Struthio camelus: one gene and its partner. The protein of the gene in region 1 purifies or fractionates together with the protein of each later gene. This does not show direct contact. Links are inferred from orthologs where the notes say so. Each region holds a gene or a part of one and is shown on either strand. Other genes may lie near its edges.

Evidence for each region. The genes of interacting proteins can lie anywhere in the genome.
Region 2: the proteins of SLC12A4 (region 1) and RAB6B purify together in Homo sapiens (co-immunoprecipitation; 3 studies listed by BioGRID and IntAct, with this or other methods). This does not show direct contact. The link is inferred for Struthio camelus from reciprocal best matches to the Homo sapiens genes SLC12A4 and RAB6B.

What each region holds. Positions count from the first base shown.
Region 1 is NC_090951.1:20,533,357-20,541,193, forward strand, and holds the start of SLC12A4 (solute carrier family 12 member 4), read right to left. Parts: upstream 3,011-7,837; 5' UTR 2,996-3,010; coding exon 2,716-2,995; intron 1-2,715. UniProt on the Homo sapiens protein: Mediates electroneutral potassium-chloride cotransport when activated by cell swelling. May contribute to cell volume homeostasis in single cells. May be involved in the regulation of basolateral Cl(-) exit in NaCl absorbing epithelia.
Region 2 is NC_090950.1:2,735,781-2,743,718, reverse strand, and holds the start of RAB6B (ras-related protein Rab-6B), read left to right. Parts: upstream 1-4,927; 5' UTR 4,928-5,034; coding exon 5,035-5,104; intron 5,105-7,938. Other genes in the region: SLCO2A1 (solute carrier organic anion transporter family member 2A1), read left to right, coding at 487-607, 1,239-1,359. UniProt on the Homo sapiens protein: The small GTPases Rab are key regulators of intracellular membrane trafficking, from the formation of transport vesicles to their fusion with membranes. Rabs cycle between active GTP-bound and inactive GDP-bound states.

The sequences.
Region 1 (7,837 bases):
AAACAAGACCATGTTGTGACAAATAAAGGTTGGAGTGAAAAGGTCAGAGGGAAGTCAGAATCCACGAGAACCACAGTCAACAGCTTGAGATACTGTGCAAGGAGCGTTTGAACAACAAAGCCCCTACTTCACCCGCTATTATAGACCAGTTATAGACAGTTCCGTCACCATGAAAAGACAACATACTTTAAGAACCATATCATTACTCAGTTACTTTAACCCACTTCCATTCAAACTGAGCAAGCCAAAAAGTCTTTAAATGAGGTTCTCACTAACAAGCTGCTAAAATACTAACTTCCCTGGAGAAGATTCAGGAGAATAATTCCAATAGCCAATTCCCCATTCTGACTACGGCGGCACTACTTGATCACACAGAGCAATCGGATGATGAGCACGTACAGTTCAGGCAGCCCTGCACGCATTCACATAGTGCCAGCACAAATGGTACGTACTTTGACAGGGCCACAAACTAAAACTGGGAAACTCTGCACTCAAGTCAAACACAGCTTACCTTACCTGGAACCAGGGTCCCACCACCACCAACAAATCCCTCCACAAGCCCCCAAATCAACTGCCACCAAAGGCTCCGGAGAGCTGTTTTCTCCTTTCCGGCCCACAGGCTTCAGCCGGCGCTTTAACAGCTATGAGACCCTCTGCCTTCAGCAGAAGCTTCCCATCTCCTCCACGTCCTATTATTAACGCTGCCCAAGTGTGTGAGTCTCCCGGACTCTGCACAGGATGTGGAAGGAAGCACCAAGAAGCAAAGGAGTAACACCAGGGAGTTCAGATTCCCCTCTACAGAGCCATAGATTCACGAAACCTAGCAGGAGACAGAAAAGGCTAGTGGGGAAGCGCACGCTCGTCAGCACAGGTAGGCAAAGCAGCGTATCTTTATACATATGCCCTGAAGATATGAAACAACACTAAATTACTGTGAAAGTAAATTAAAAAATAGAAGGCAGTTATAGTTCAAACAGAAATAGAGCTCAACAACTGTACATTAATAGAGATGTTACCAGATATTTATCAGTTTTAAAAGAATGAGACTCAGCTAGCTTCCAGCAGCACAGTTCTTGCGTGACAGCCTGAACAGCAGTACTGACGTGACCACAGCTTGTCGGCTACTGACAGATCGGGACGGTGAGCTGACTATCTTGATGCGTGTTGTTTGCGTGCACCATACGGGCACTCTGACACCCAAACGACAGGCAGTTTGAGTTGACCTTCCTTTAGTCACCACAGCAGTAGCTTCCAGGAGTCACACTTACTAACCCATGCCCAAAGCCAGCTAATGGGGAAAGTACTCTGCCAAGTCTTCACTTCAACCTGCTGAGATGGGTGGAAACCAGCTATTTGCATCACTGTCTTATATATTAACTGTCTGTTAGGTAACCTGAGGTTAAAACATACCTTTTTACAAAACGAAGCCAAGGCCTTGCACAGCCTTTAGGGATGGAGCCCCAAATTAATTCTGTGATAACAGACACGTTGGGAAAGAGAATTACGTTTCACCATTCCAAAACGGCCATGCTAGAACTCAAAAGAATTCATATAATGGACACCAGGCCTACGTAGTAACAGAAAACGAAATCTAAATGTCATTTGAAAACAGAGTTTAACAAAAAAAATCTACACATTGGAAACTGAGGTACAGATCACAGAGAACCGAACAGGGCGTCAAGCCACGAACCGGACGCTGGTGCCAGGACAACTCAGGATCACGCTCCGCCAAGCCACCCTTCTTTCTTCCTCAAGCCCAGGCCCGAGGGGAGCAGGCTGCCCTCAGGGACCGCTGCGCGCCTCGCGGTGTCACAGAGCTTGCGCGGAGTTTGGCTGCAGGCGGGCGAGGAACTCGGGCACTTACAGACCAGCCTGGAATCGCCCCTGAGTCACAAAGGGCGAGTGGGAGCCCTCAGGGGGTTCTCTTCCTGAGGGTTACAGGACTAAACGCAACCAAGGCAGGGGGACGAAAAAAAAAAAATAACACACACACGCACGCAACAGTTTTCCAGAAACACCCCGCTCTCCAAATTTAACCCTCCTTCCTCTGACCACCGCAAACACTCATCGCCTTTACGCTGATTTATACCTAAAGGTGGGAGCCAAAGGCCAAGACAGGCCGAGCGCTGACACTAGCTGCCTCATCACGAGAGCTACTCCCACTCCCACTCCCCCCCCGCCCCAAAATCCCCTCCCCCTTACGTGAGCCTCTTCCGTAATCGGAATAAATTAGCCACCAACAAAAAGCGGCTATGCCTAACAGGAACGGCAAGGCGGGCACGGCGCACCGGCTGCAGCGCCTTCCCGGGCGGACACGTTTCTCTGACATTACATAAGGGGGGGGGGGGGGGGAAGCAACCGGCCACCTGAGAGCTGGCTCAGCTCACTGAGTTTCTGGTCACCGGCGTTATTTAGGCAGAGGAGCGGCCCAAGCGCTCGGAGGTGCCTGCGCGGAGCCCGCTGCTATCGCCCGGCGGCGGCGGCAGCTTGCGCGGGGGCGATAACGCCGTGCGCGGCCGCGGCTCCTCCGCCCTGCCCCGCGCACCTGCCTGCGCGGGGGCCCCGCGGGCTCGGCCGAGGCTGAGAGCCGGCGGCGACGCCCGCCCCGCCCGGCCGCTCCCCGGGCAGCCGTTGCCCGTGGCGGCGCGCGGAGCCATGTTGGCCCCCGCCGCGGGCGGCGCCGGCAGGCAGCGGCTGCCCCCCGCGCGCACTCACCGTCCGAGCTGACGGTGTCGTAGGGGTCGGCGGCGGCGGCGGGCGGCGCCGCGGGCGGCTCCCGGTAGTCCACCCAGCTGAGCCCTTCCACGCTGTCGTAGTCGGCGCGGGGCTTGTCCTCCACCGGCACCACGGTGAAGTGCGGCATGGCTGGCGGGGCGGCGAGGGCTGCCGGCCGGACCGCGGCGAGGCAGGCGGGATGCGGCGCGGAGCCGGCGGCGCATTCCTGCCCCGTGCGGTCACTTCCTCTCAGGAAACCGCGCTCCTCAACTCCACCCATTCCCCTCCGAGCGGCGAGGCGGCGCGGCGGCAGCGGCGGCGGCCGCGGGGCGGGGAGGGGAGGGGGTGTCGCGCCGCCGGGCGGGCGGCGCTCAGCAGCGGGGGCGCGCAGGAGGGGTCGGCGGCTGCGAGGCGGCGCGGGGCGGGGGGAGCCTTCCCGCCTCGCTCATGTCGGCGGCGAGCGGGCGGGGCGGGGTGGCCCCCCGCGGCCCTCCCTCGCCAGCGCTGTTTTCCTGCCTCGGGGCGGCTCTGCGGCGCCGTGAGCGCGGCGGGCGGGGCGGCGGCGCCCCGATACCCCCTCATCACCCCCCACCCCGCGGGGCCCTGAGGGCGCCGCCCTGCCGCGCCGCGCCGCGCCCCGCCCCGCCGCGCGCCCCCTCAGGGCGGGCCGCGCCCCGCCGCCATTTCCTCGGTGCCGCTGCCCACCGCGGCCTCGGGCGAGCGAGGCTTTTTCGCGGCGCTAGGGAGGGCTCGGCGGCTGAGACGCTAGGGAAAATAAATAAATAGATAAACAAATAAATAAATAAATAAATAAATTGAAAGGGTCCTGTTAAGCTTTGAAAGCAAAGGGTGTTGGGTGAGCAGGGCTGGCGACCCGCACGGAAGAGCGGGGCCGTGGTGCGCCGTTGATCAACGGCAGGCTAACTGAAGGCGTGCTGTCAGCCTCTCAGAGCCGGTTTATTTTTAAGCGAACTGAACGTTAACTGCACACACCACAGCTGGCCCCGCTTCCTGCGCGTGCGGTGGCCTGTCACCCTATGCTGGCCCCCTTCACCCGCCACCTGAAACTGCCCGAAATAACGCGTCCAACCGAGCGGGCCAAGGAAAACAGGAAGCGCCTGGGAGAAGCGCGGGCGAAAACGTGACGCTTGGCCATCTGAAATTTTAGCCAGGGCGGAGGGCGTTTCTAGCCCTGCGCCGAGCAGGCTGCCTGGGTGCAGGAGGCGCCGGGGCGGGCGCCTCGGGGCGGCCGGAGCGGCGGGCCCAAAGCAGGGCCTCCTGCCCTCCTGTCCCCCCGGGAGCAAAATTCGAGGTTGCCTGCGCGTCTGAGAAAGCTGGGGCCAGCCCCGGGCGTCAGAGCCTGCGTTCTGTGTGGGGGAGCCCTCACCTGGGGTGTAAAGACGAGTTCGCAGTCCGTAACGCGGCTCACTGTCTCTGTCTGAAAGCTAGCCTTGGAAGCAAAAGGATCTCTTTAGCGTATTGAGTCATCCTCAGGAAAAAAACTCAAGGCAACAGCGTGTGTCTTCCACTATAGAGTATCAACTCCAACTTATTTTTTTAGATGTTTTGACTAAAAATACTCTTTACTCAAGAAATCGCTGTACAGTGACAACTAGATCCAGTGCTGATGCAAATTTTCTGCAGTAGTCACTTATTTTTCTAACACTGCTATTAGACAGCACTGAAATCCCACAGGAGTCTATGGAGGAACATAAACCTCAGAGCAGAGGAAGACAATAGAGTTCTATTTTCCCATTTCCTGTGCTCAGAAAAACCTTATTCTTAGCTTTCTGAATGTGTCCTGCTTTCTGACAAAGCAATCTTCACATCACTGAGGTCGAGAAACGTGTAATGAGCAAGAGAGAGACAGACAAGAAAGAGAACTCTCTGTTCGCAAGAACTAAGTCCACTTTTAATTAGTTGGGTTTGGAAGTAAACAAGAAGGATCCATGCTGTGGAGTGACTGCAGGCAAGGGGGATACAGGTCTCCCAGTTCACTTAACACAAACTTGCTGATAGACCACCTCTGGGGAAAGCCAGAACAATTGCACCCCTTAATATTGATCAGACAGGTGGAAAGACTTCTAAGACTTCTCTGTGTTTTTATATAATCTACATTTTAGTTACGTCTCTCTGCTCTGCTTATGGAAGACAACCGTGTTTCTTCATTTGGCTGTGGGTATCTTAATTACAGGCTCACCATTTTTAGAGGAGAAACGTGTATTTTCCTCTATTCAAAACTTACAGTATCTTGAAGACCAAGGGTGTGATTTTTTTCCAGTAGCTCTAAAATTAGCACTTCTGTAAATACGATCCCACTGAGGTCTGTAGAGTTCTACCAGTAACTTCTGTGAGCATATTAGCCCACTTCTGAGAATTTAGAAGCATTTCTCATCATTTTAGAAGCACTGAAGCTGACAGATTGACAACATGCTAGTGCTCCACTTAGCCCACAGTCTTGTCTCCAGCAATATTAGTTGCAGAGAGAGTTTCCAGAGGAAAGGGGAACAGTTGGCCAAAAAGCAGCATTTTCTTTTTGACCCTCTGAGGTTTAATTGGTGTGATATAATCAGCCGGACAGCGGCCCCCAAGAAAACAGGAAATGTAAATATTAACTGGTAGGGGACAAAGCAGAATTTTCTATAGGAGGAAGGCAGGACAAGAAATTGCCACTAAGCAAGTTAGTTCACGCTTAATGTCTTGTCGTCTTCTTTCCTGTTTTCCACTTTATAAGATTTTTGAGTGAAAGTATGATATAAATAAGGTATCCTAGAAACAGGGGACAGGGATTATAACAACTACATTTCAAGAGTTAATGTTTTTGGAGTCATGTATATTTTGGAGAAAGAATTAAACTAGGCACTTCTTTCTCATCTAGGTTTTGAAAGCAGGTCTGGCAAGGAGCTGTCTTTCTTTAGATGCCAAAAATGCATCTAGGCCACTGCAAGATGGTTTAGTATCATGAATTCAATGGCTCTGAAATTCTACGCCATGAGAAAAAACAAAAAAACCCAAACTCATGTACATATACCAGCAACTCCCTTACTTAGAATGGGAACTTTATCCAAACGTGAGAGGAGAGATTTGGCTCTAGGAAACTATTCAAGTTTATTGAAGCAAAAAAACTTATTTTGTCTAAAGACAATGACTCTTTAGTAGTTTGTGGCCAGTCCACGTTTGGAGGCAGGAAGTTACCTGTCCTTATCAACTCTGTTGTTTAGTATCTGTGTCGTAAGAGAACTGAAATTTCAATCTGGATGATGTTCAGCTTTCTTTTTTTTTTCCCTGAACACAAATCCTGATTCTTACTTACGAATGATATGAGTGACCATCACAAGCTTAAGAGTTGTCTGATAGGAGACAGGAATGAGACTAGATGATCTGGAAGCCATTTTTACATCAAACAACATTGTCTGTCTTCTCTTATTAAATAGCGGGGATGGAAATTACCTGTTTGCTACAAAGCTAAATGGAATTTGCGATTGCAGTTTCACGTGGGTACAGACTGGTCAGTGAAAACAAAAGAAAGAGCACAGAGAATGTATTCGTTTCCTTTTTTTCAAAGAGAGAGGAGAAATTGCTCTTCTCAGAAAGAAAGGCTAGTGGTTTCACTAGGAGAGACATTAAGGCCAGCTTAGCAGAATCAAGTCTTATTAGATGAGAAAAGGCCTGAGTTTTGGTAATTTAGTTTACGTTAACAGTATCAGTGAAGTCAGCAGCCTGAAGATCAGCAAATATGTGATCATTTCCTCTCCAGTACACCCTCAGGAACTGCTTTCTAAACTGTTAGTTTATTATCTGCAAAGCAAAGACCCAGTCCGGTTCCTATTTAGCAAGCCACTGCATATTTGTGAACTAACTTAAGTAGGCTTAAGCTTCCAGCTGAATGGCCAGTATGCTTTGGCGGTTAACACCTATGCCATTCAATTCAAAGGGAAAAGTTGTATGAGAAACTCATTGCCTTCTGGAAGGGTAGTCTGTAAACTGCTGAAGAGCCTAGTGTAAATCCTCAGGACAGGCAAGCGAGGTCAAATTTGTCTTGAACGCTTTTTATTACAGATGACAACACTCAAATAATAAAAAAAAAAACAGCTTGGCTTTTACAGCCTAGCATGAAATAGTGGTTGCACCCCCCCATTGGCTATCACAGAACAAAGTTGACTTAGGAAGCGAGGTGTTTTATCTGGTCCCTGGCAGACAGTAATTCACAGATCCTTGTATGCTGCTCATATCATCATCCTAGGAGGAAGTTAAAATCAAATTAAGATCATTTATTAGTGACCACTTTTAAGGGTATGGTAAAGGCAACAGCCTGCATCAGCCCACCCAAGGGGGTGTAGTACGCGCATTGGAAGCCCCTTCTACATGAGCTCTAGAGCTTTGCTTATGACTGACTTAGCAATATCTGATGTTAACTTTAATCAAACAGCAAAAAGTAATTCTTGTTTCATCTTCTTTTCAATGAAAATAATTTGTCATTGGTTTAGGGGTAGGAAAACCCAGCATCTGAAACTGTGAGTACAGCTTTTCTCATCTTCCCTTCCTCCTGAATTTAATGGGCGGAAGCCTAAGTTTAAATGAAATCATTTAATTTTTCTAGCTAGGAAAAATCATGCAAAAAAAATGTGTCATAAATTTACAATTCAGATAATGAAACATTTTAAAATTCATCTATAAAATTGTGTTGGCACTAACGTTGCTTGGATTGCTTTATGATAATATGCTATCATAGAAAGCTTTGCAGAAAAATTAAATGAACTTCCTCTAAATGAAGCTTTGAAATGCCTTCTTGGTGCACTAGCCTGCCTGGTTCCTGCTGTCATTACCAACCCTACCGCTACGTCCCCGGGCAGAGCATGGGGCACGCTTAGAGGTATAGGCATGGGATGCACAGGTCTAGAAGTCTAAGAGAGAACATCCATAGCTGTGTTTATCCAAAATACATAACATTTCTTGAGTGGAATACCTCCATTGAGATGCTTTAGATAATAATAGTCATATTGTATCTCTCTGATAATACAGACTAGTGTAATGCTTCTCTTTCTTTATCAATGGGACAAACTATGAAACTATAATTGAAACTGCTTGAAGCAATGGGAAAATTCTGAACTATATTACATGA
Region 2 (7,938 bases), on another chromosome or scaffold:
CTCCTGTCTCTTTCTGATAATTATTAACTTGGGCCATTTGGTGGATCCCTGCAGAGTGCAACCTGGTTTGGGTTTGATCCTTATGTTTCGCCATTCCAATAAAAGGCTGCAAACCCTCATTTACAGCCAAGCTCTGCAGTGCAGCAGCTGGGGCCAGATCCTGATTCGCCATAGCTCCAGCTACCAACTGAGACCTCTCCCTGGTGGTGTTGAGGGGTCTCCAAGAAACAATAAGCAGTGGATAGCTTGCTAAAGCTTTCACTCGGGCTCACTCAACAAGAGTTGTTGAACCTCCTGAGGGAGGCAAAGGGACAGCAGGCAAAGTCAATAAGCAGAGTACCATTTAGGATTGCTTTGAGAGCTGCTGGGTTTGACTCCAGGGGATGAGGCATGTAGGCACACAAGCGTGCGACGCTGCAGGGCAGGAAGGGGAATTGGTAGCACTGGCAGGTGACATGTGACCTGACCCAGCTTCTCTCTCCAAAGCCTGGTTGCCAGCTCCGGCCATGTTCGGTGCCCTCATTGACTCTTCCTGCATCTACTGGCAGAAACAGTGCACCCAGCGCAGGTTCTGCGTCTACTACAACAATGACTTCCTCCGCAACAGGTACATGCACGCGCTCGTTCCACAGGATCACAACGCGCGCGCACACACACACACACACACACACACACACATACACACACACACAAATGCACACACACACACACGGCTGCAGTGTTTCTGGCTAGGTCCACAAATACCCCCCAGGAAGGTGAATGCGCCATGCTCATGCCCCACGCTCATTTGCAACATCCCCTGAACTTGCTAAGAGGCAGTTTCTGGAGCCCAGTCTTGGGTGCTTGGGGCTCCATCCTGCAGAGATGTGTGTCCTCGTCAGGTTCACTAGTCATGTTGCCTCACCAAGAAAATCCAGCTCCTTTGGGATTATTTTCAAGGCAGAAATTGGAGGACAACAAAGCAGGTCCTTCAGTTCCCATGGCCCCAGCACACCTCTAGGTCTGGCTCCAAACACACAGGTGAAGCACAGGCCATGTCCTGTTGTAGGGGAAGAATCCTGCCCTAGTGTGTCCCACCACAGCCGCGCCCAAAGCTGGAATGAGAACAGGCCACAGCTCAAGCCAGGATGAGGCTAGCTGGACTCCATTTCCTACACAGCAACAATCCTATCTTTAGACAGAACAAGGCCCTGTGTTGCTCCTGGCAGGAATGACACTCTCCTCTTTTCTCTTGACAGATACTTAGGCCTGCAGATTGGGTACAAAGTGATAGGCACCGTGCTTCTTGTCCTCATCAGCTGGAAAGTGAAGAAGAGTAAGGAATACAATGTGCAAGAGAAGGCAGCTGGTCTGGTGTAGCCTGCCCAAGGACTGACTCTGAATGTACCTCCCCAACCTGCCTGTACCCACTACCAGTACTTTGTCAATGTTTTTTTTGTGAGGGAGCAATTTCATATTAGCAGCCAAGCTCCAAACTCCTCTACTGCAACTTGCACTGCAACGCACCTACCCAGCCTGCAGTGAAACATCTCTGTGCTCCCAAGAAGGGACTTCCCAGCCAGACTCTTCGGGAGGGCTGCGATTACCCAGCAGCAGCTCACCCATGTTACAATGAGAGCACTGCCTCATGCCAGCTCCGTAACCAACCCTAGCAGGGACCTGCCAGCGTGGTCGTGAGCTAGGTCATGGGTGCCAGGGCTAGCTCTGGACTAGTCGTGGCCAGGACTGGGTCCTCCCACATCCTTTGGCGGAGCCTCGTCCATCACTTTGGGAAGAGGACAGCCTCCAGCCACGATGACTGCCTCTTGGGAAATGCTGAAGGTTTGTTGTGAGGCAAGCAGGAACATTTGAGCAGTTACAGGTCTCCAGGAAGGGGTAAGGACAGGGGAGCAGGAGCTGGAGGAAGGTCTGCAGCCCAGCCTCATCCCTTTTCCACAGAGGTGCCTGCTCAGGGCAAAGAGCCTGCTTTGGCTCAGCATGTTGCAAGCCAGGCAATGTCTGCCTGGCTGGGACAAGAGTAGGGGAGAAGTCTGAGAAGCACTGGAGAACTGTCCCTTTCCCTCTCCCTCGCTGTACACCTCACACAGGTCACTGTGGACACGTACATGAATTGTAAAAAGTTATTACTAGTGGTTTATTACAGAATATGTGTTCATTTGTTTTTTAATAAACATCACTTTTCCAATTGTGGTGTTTTGCTGATCTCCCCGTGAGATCCTTCTCCTTTCACCATGGGTTAGGTTCCTGAGACGACTGCAGGACACATCCTAGGAGGTGCTGTTATCCCTCGCCAGCTAACAGGAAGAATTGCAGATTTGGTGCACCGTGTGTTTGGTGCTTTTCTATGGAAGAAAGTCTCTCCCTCTGAGCAACAGGCCCCGTTGGAGACCTCTGGAAAGGGAAGATGGTAGAGGTGTTCCTCGCAGTGACCTTTGTAGGTCCACCATGGAGCTCCTGCTCTCCTGGCCCCGGGACTGAGGAGGTTCTACAGAGCTTAGCACCTTTCAGATTACCTTTAGATAAGCAAGGAGTAGCTCAGCTCCTCTAGGCAGAAATCTAGCCCAGGTATTTGTTGTCACACACCCAACAATTTCACAGAATCACAGAACGGTTGAGGTTGGAAGGGACCTCTGGAGATCATCTAGCCCAACCTCCCTGCTCCAGCAGGGACCTCCAGAGCATATTTCCCAGGATCGCATCCAGACGGGTTTTGAATATCTCCAGGGAAGGAGACTCCACTACCTCTCTGGGCAACCTGTTCCAATGCTCAGTCACCCTCACAGTCAAGAAGTTTTTCCTCATGTTCACATGGAACTGCCTGTGGTTCAGTTTCTGCCCATTGCCTCTTGTCCTGCTGCTTGGCACCATGGAGAAGAGACTGGCCTCATCCTCTCGACACCCCCCCTTCACATAGTTGCACACATTGATGGGATCGCCTCTTAGTCTCTTCTTCTCCAGGAAGAGCTCAAGGCAATTTGCTATCAAGCTCAAGTCAAATCTATGCAGAGGAGCACATATCTTAGAAAGCATGGCCCTGAGAGAGGCAATGATAGCTTTGTGCCCATCAGCAGTTAAGTTCACAATCCTGTAGAATGTGTTTTCTAAACTGGCCATTGATTTTGAGTGTGTGACATGAGATACCTACAGAGGCCTGAAGTGAGGGAGAACGTCAGGAGGATGCTGAGTCACTATATGTAGTGTCTCACTGGCAGATCCTGGCTTTAAAAGCTGGCTCCCAGAGGGTGGGGGTTGACTCTTGATGCCTAATAAGCCATTTACCCTAATGAACTTGGCAGCTGGGCTCCAAACCCCAGAGCAGCTTGCTGGGCTCCCTTTAGGCTGGTGGGGCAGCGGCAGGTGACATCCGAGTTGGTTGGGTGCTGCTGTGGGGAGGCAGGCCACACTGCACGGAGCTCTGTATGGTGTGGCATCGCTAGGCAGGAGTCTTTGCTACCTCTCTGACAAGACACAGACTTGGTTCCCTTGTCTCTTTGGGTTGTTTCCTGACTTGGAACTTCAAGTTTTAATCCAGGGGTAAATCTCACCATGGCCTTTCCTCACGTAACACCATCTCATGCTCCTGTGGCCATGTGAAAGGTGCTTTGGGTCTGGCTGGGTGACTACCATGGCCAGCCAGGGGGAAGAGGAGCCTTCCCTACCCTCTGTGGTGTGGTGGCCTGGGCCCTCCCTACCTAGACCTGCACTGTCACTGCCATGAGATGTCACTGGTACCCTCCTGAAGGCCACCTGCACACTGCCGTGAGATGTCTGCAGGTACCTGGAGCATGCTTGGAGGGCGGGGGTGATGCAAAGTACCTGCAGTGCACAGGGCCCTCCAACATGGGGACCCCATAGCTTGCCCTTCCCACCAAGACTGCTTTGCAAAGCCCTATTTCACCTGTGCAGAGCCTGGAGCTGCCCTCACTGGGCACCCCATGGTCACTCAGGGCACAAGATGCTGCCCGCATGGGTTTGAGACGGGGCAGGGCTGAGATGGGGCCACTGAGGCAGAGGGTTAAAAATAGCTGGCATGAGCAGTGCCTGGATAGCCTCCCCACTTGCTGCTTGGATGAACTGTGCAGCACAGATCAAACGTGAAAGGAAGATGCTGAGCGCACTCTCCCCTCTTTTAGGAGGTTAGCTGGCTGCATTCAAGGCTATCTGATAAGGGCTGGTGGGAAGGAAAAGCTGGAAAAATCAACAGAAAGGGCTTGCCCCTTCTGACCTTGGGAACTGCTATTAAGCTGAGCCTCTTACCCTGGCCTAGCTGAGCTGCAACATCGCTGTGTTGCAACCCTGCCTCTGCCTGGCAAGGGACCCCCCTGCCTGGGCAAAGTTGGCCTGCAGCGAGGCTGAGGGGCCATGAGGGTTTTATGTGAGTGGGCTGTACGAGGTCCTACCCAATGGCCCCGACATCCTGCAGCAGCCCAATGGGCTGCAGAGCCTGCCTGTCATCCTTAACTGCACGCTGGGAGGGGAGGCAGGGAGGACCGTGCGGTTTCCGCGCCCGGCATGCAGAAATGCTCTGCGCGGGGGGGAGCTGCCCTGCTTCAAGCTGTTGCGGCCAGGGCGCAGCAAGAGAAGGAAGACTCGCGCAATTAAACGCAAGGACTTATTTAAATGATGCCGTGGGGCAGCTCTGCGCGAGTCCGTGACAGACGCCAAGCGCTGCGGTGGGAGAGGCAGCACCGCGGTGAAGCGTGTGTGACGAGCGCCAGGAACAGCAGAGGCGCGAGCCCGAGGGGCACCGCTCTGCACCGAGGCCCGGCTGAGTCTCCCAGGGGAGGCGCTGGGCAGCTTCTCCGGGGGCGTCGCTGGAGACCGCACCGCACCCAGCTCCGGCCGCCGCCACCGCCGCCCCGGCCCGGCCCCGCCCCGCCCGCCGTGGGCCCCGCCCCGCCCGCCCCGCCCGCCGTGGGCCCCGCCCCGCCCGCCGTGGGCCCCGCCCCGCCCCGCCCGCCCGCCGTGGGCCGCGCCGCGCCGCAGGGCCCGGGGCGGTGGCTAGCGCGGGCCGGCCCGGCTCGGCCCGGCACCATGTCTGCCGGCGGGGAGCTGGGCAACCCGCTGCGGAAATTCAAGTTGGTCTTCCTGGGGGAGCAGAGCGGTGAGCGCGGGCGCGGGGCGGGCAGGGGGCTGCGGCGGGGCGGGGGGACCGGTCCATGCTGGGGGGCTGCTTTGGGGCAGGGGGACCGGTCCATGCTGGGGGGCTGCTTTGGGGCAGGGGGACCGAGCCATGCTGGGGGGCTGCTTTGGGGCAGGGGGACCGGGCCATGCTGGGGGGCTGCTTTGGGGCAGGGGGACCGAGCCATGCTGGGGGGCTGCTTTGGGGCAGGGGGACCGGGCCATGCTGGGGGGCTGCTTTGGGGCTGGGGGACCGGGCCATGCTGGGGGGCTGCTTTGGGGCTGGGGGCTGCTTTGGGGCTGGGGGACCGGGCCATGCTGGGGGGCTGCTTTGGGGCTGGGGGCTGCTTTGGGGCTGGGGGACCGGGCCATGCTGGGGGGCTGCTTTGGGGCTGGGGGCTGCTTTGGGGCAGGGGGACCGAGCTGGGCTAGAGGCGGCCGCAGCGGGGCACGGGGTTGCAGTGGGGTAGAGATGGGGAGGGAGTGAGGCAGGATGGCGGCTGCAGTGCGTCAGGGAGCTGCAGTGGAGTAAGGGGGACAGAGTCAGGCTGGGGGAGCTGCGGTGGGGTAGGGGAGACCAAGCCAGGATGGGAGAACTGCAGTGGGGCAGGGTGCTGCAGTGGGGTGAGGGCTTGGGAGGAACCGATCTGGGCTGGGGGGGGGTACACATTGGGGCTGGGGGCTGCGAGGGGATAGGGGCTGGGAGGGACTGAGCCAGGCTGGGGGGTCGGGGGGACAGCATGGCAAGGGACTGCGGTGGGGTGGTGGGGACCAAGCTGGACTGTTGGGGCTGCAGTGGGGCAGACAGGATTGAGCTGGGCTGCAGTGGGGCAGGAACCTGGGGGGGGGACTGAGCTGGGCTGGGAAGGAGGCCACAGTGGGGCATTGACAGCCAGCAGTGGAGGCCCCGGGGACTGCCTGTCTTTGCCCAGAACGGTGTTAATTCTGCACGTTTCCCTTGTGGCCTGGCAAGGGGAGATGTGGGGGGCTTGCTGCAGCCCCCCCCCGTCCCCCCCGAGCCAGGTAGCAGGGTGTTGCTGCTGGGCGATTGGCTCTGGCTGGCCAGAGGTCAGGGTGTGCTCTGGTAGGGGGGATCCTCTCTGCCTGACCCATGCACTGGTGGGACAAGGGATGCCTGGAGCTTTTCCTGTGGACCGTTCAGGAGAGGGTGGAGGGTTTGCACCAGCTGGGATTACAGGTGAAGGACAGGCTGGGGTCCACCCTGATGCTAGCCAAGCAGCTCAGCTTTCCCTTTGGTGATCCCCTGCCCTATGCTCACTCCTTGGAGAGATTAAAAAGAAAGGAAAAAGAGATGGGGGGGGGGGAATGCTGCAGAGTGAAAAATGGTTTGGCCAATACATGGGGCTCCAGAACCTCCCAGCCTTGCTGAGATATTTTTTTTTCCTGCCTCTATTTTCCTACTCCTGAATTGCCACCTACCTGTGCAAAAGGAAAAATGTTGCAGAATGCAAGAGGATGTCACATGAAGGGCCTGACTGCCATGGGGCAAAGTAATGGTTTTATAACTTCCTCGGTAGCTCCATTTGCAACATCAAGGAAGAGGAATTGCTGGGCTTTACTGTTCCCAAATCGCATGGTTGCAGCTTGCTTTGTTTGTTTTGTTTTGTGTTTTGTTTTGTTTTGGATTTTTTTGAGCTAGTGTAATACATGGACAGTGGTCGTTTCTCAGCCCTTTTGGAAAAGCTAAAACGTTGTCAGGGTAAAGACGATAAAGGTTTGGTGCGTCAAACAGGGAGGATTTGGTGGCAGCCTCAGCAGGAGCCTGCTTGGGCTGCTCTTCAGTTCAAGCCGCCTGATTACAGGCAGCATTGCAGGCTGCTGCCTCCTTAGGGGTGAGCTGAATGACTTCTCGCCCGGCTGATGGCATGGTAGGCTGCTGGACTGCCCATGGTGCCCATCTTGTCTTGCCCTCTCCACTTACTGCTTTGCAATTTTCTGCAATTTCTGCCTTTTCATTGAGAACAGCCTTGTGCAACTGGTGAATCCCATGGAGCCTCTCCGGATGATTTTACTGCCATATGGGCAGCAATTTTTTTTTTTATTTTTAAAGCAGCAAAAAGCTCCCAGATGTACCTTCTGGTGGCTGTGCTGTCCGTGTAGGACATTGCCCGGCCGCAGTCTCTGAGCTGCAGGATACCTCACTCGTTAACAGGGAGTGCTGTAAATACAGCCGATCCCTCATAATAACCATTTGTATTTCAACTGCACAAGACCTTGCTGGATCAGGATAGGAGGTGACAATACACCCTGCCTTCCCCAAGCATCCTGGAGAAGACCCTTGTTTGCATTCTCTGCTTCTGAGCTTTGTTCCCATATGGAACAAAAAAGGTCCCTCTACCCAAGCACCAACCCTTTACCCTGTGGCATCCAGAGCCAGCTGCAGCTAGCAAGCTGTCCGATGATAATCTGCAGATGGATGTCTTCAAAGCAAAAGAATTAGCCTGCATTTTCACAGCGTTCCTCTTCCTCCCCCCATCCATGCGCTCAGTATGGGGAGACAAATTCATGAAACAACAGTCAGTCCCTGTGGAGAGCTAGCTAGGGAAGTTGGATGCTTTTTTCCCCCCCTTTCTGAAATGTGTGTACATGCAAGACCTTTGCTGGGGTACTGGGCTCCTGATGTTTCACTCTGGCGACAGTTGTGATTCTCCCAGTGCCGTGAGGACCATGGGCAGGAAAGGCCCTGGTGTGCAGTTGCAATGTGGTTGCAATGCTGATCTCAGTTAATGGCATTCTAGTAAAGTGAGCACTCTGGATTTCTTCTCTAGGGACTGAACCTGTCATGTGCGCAAAAAA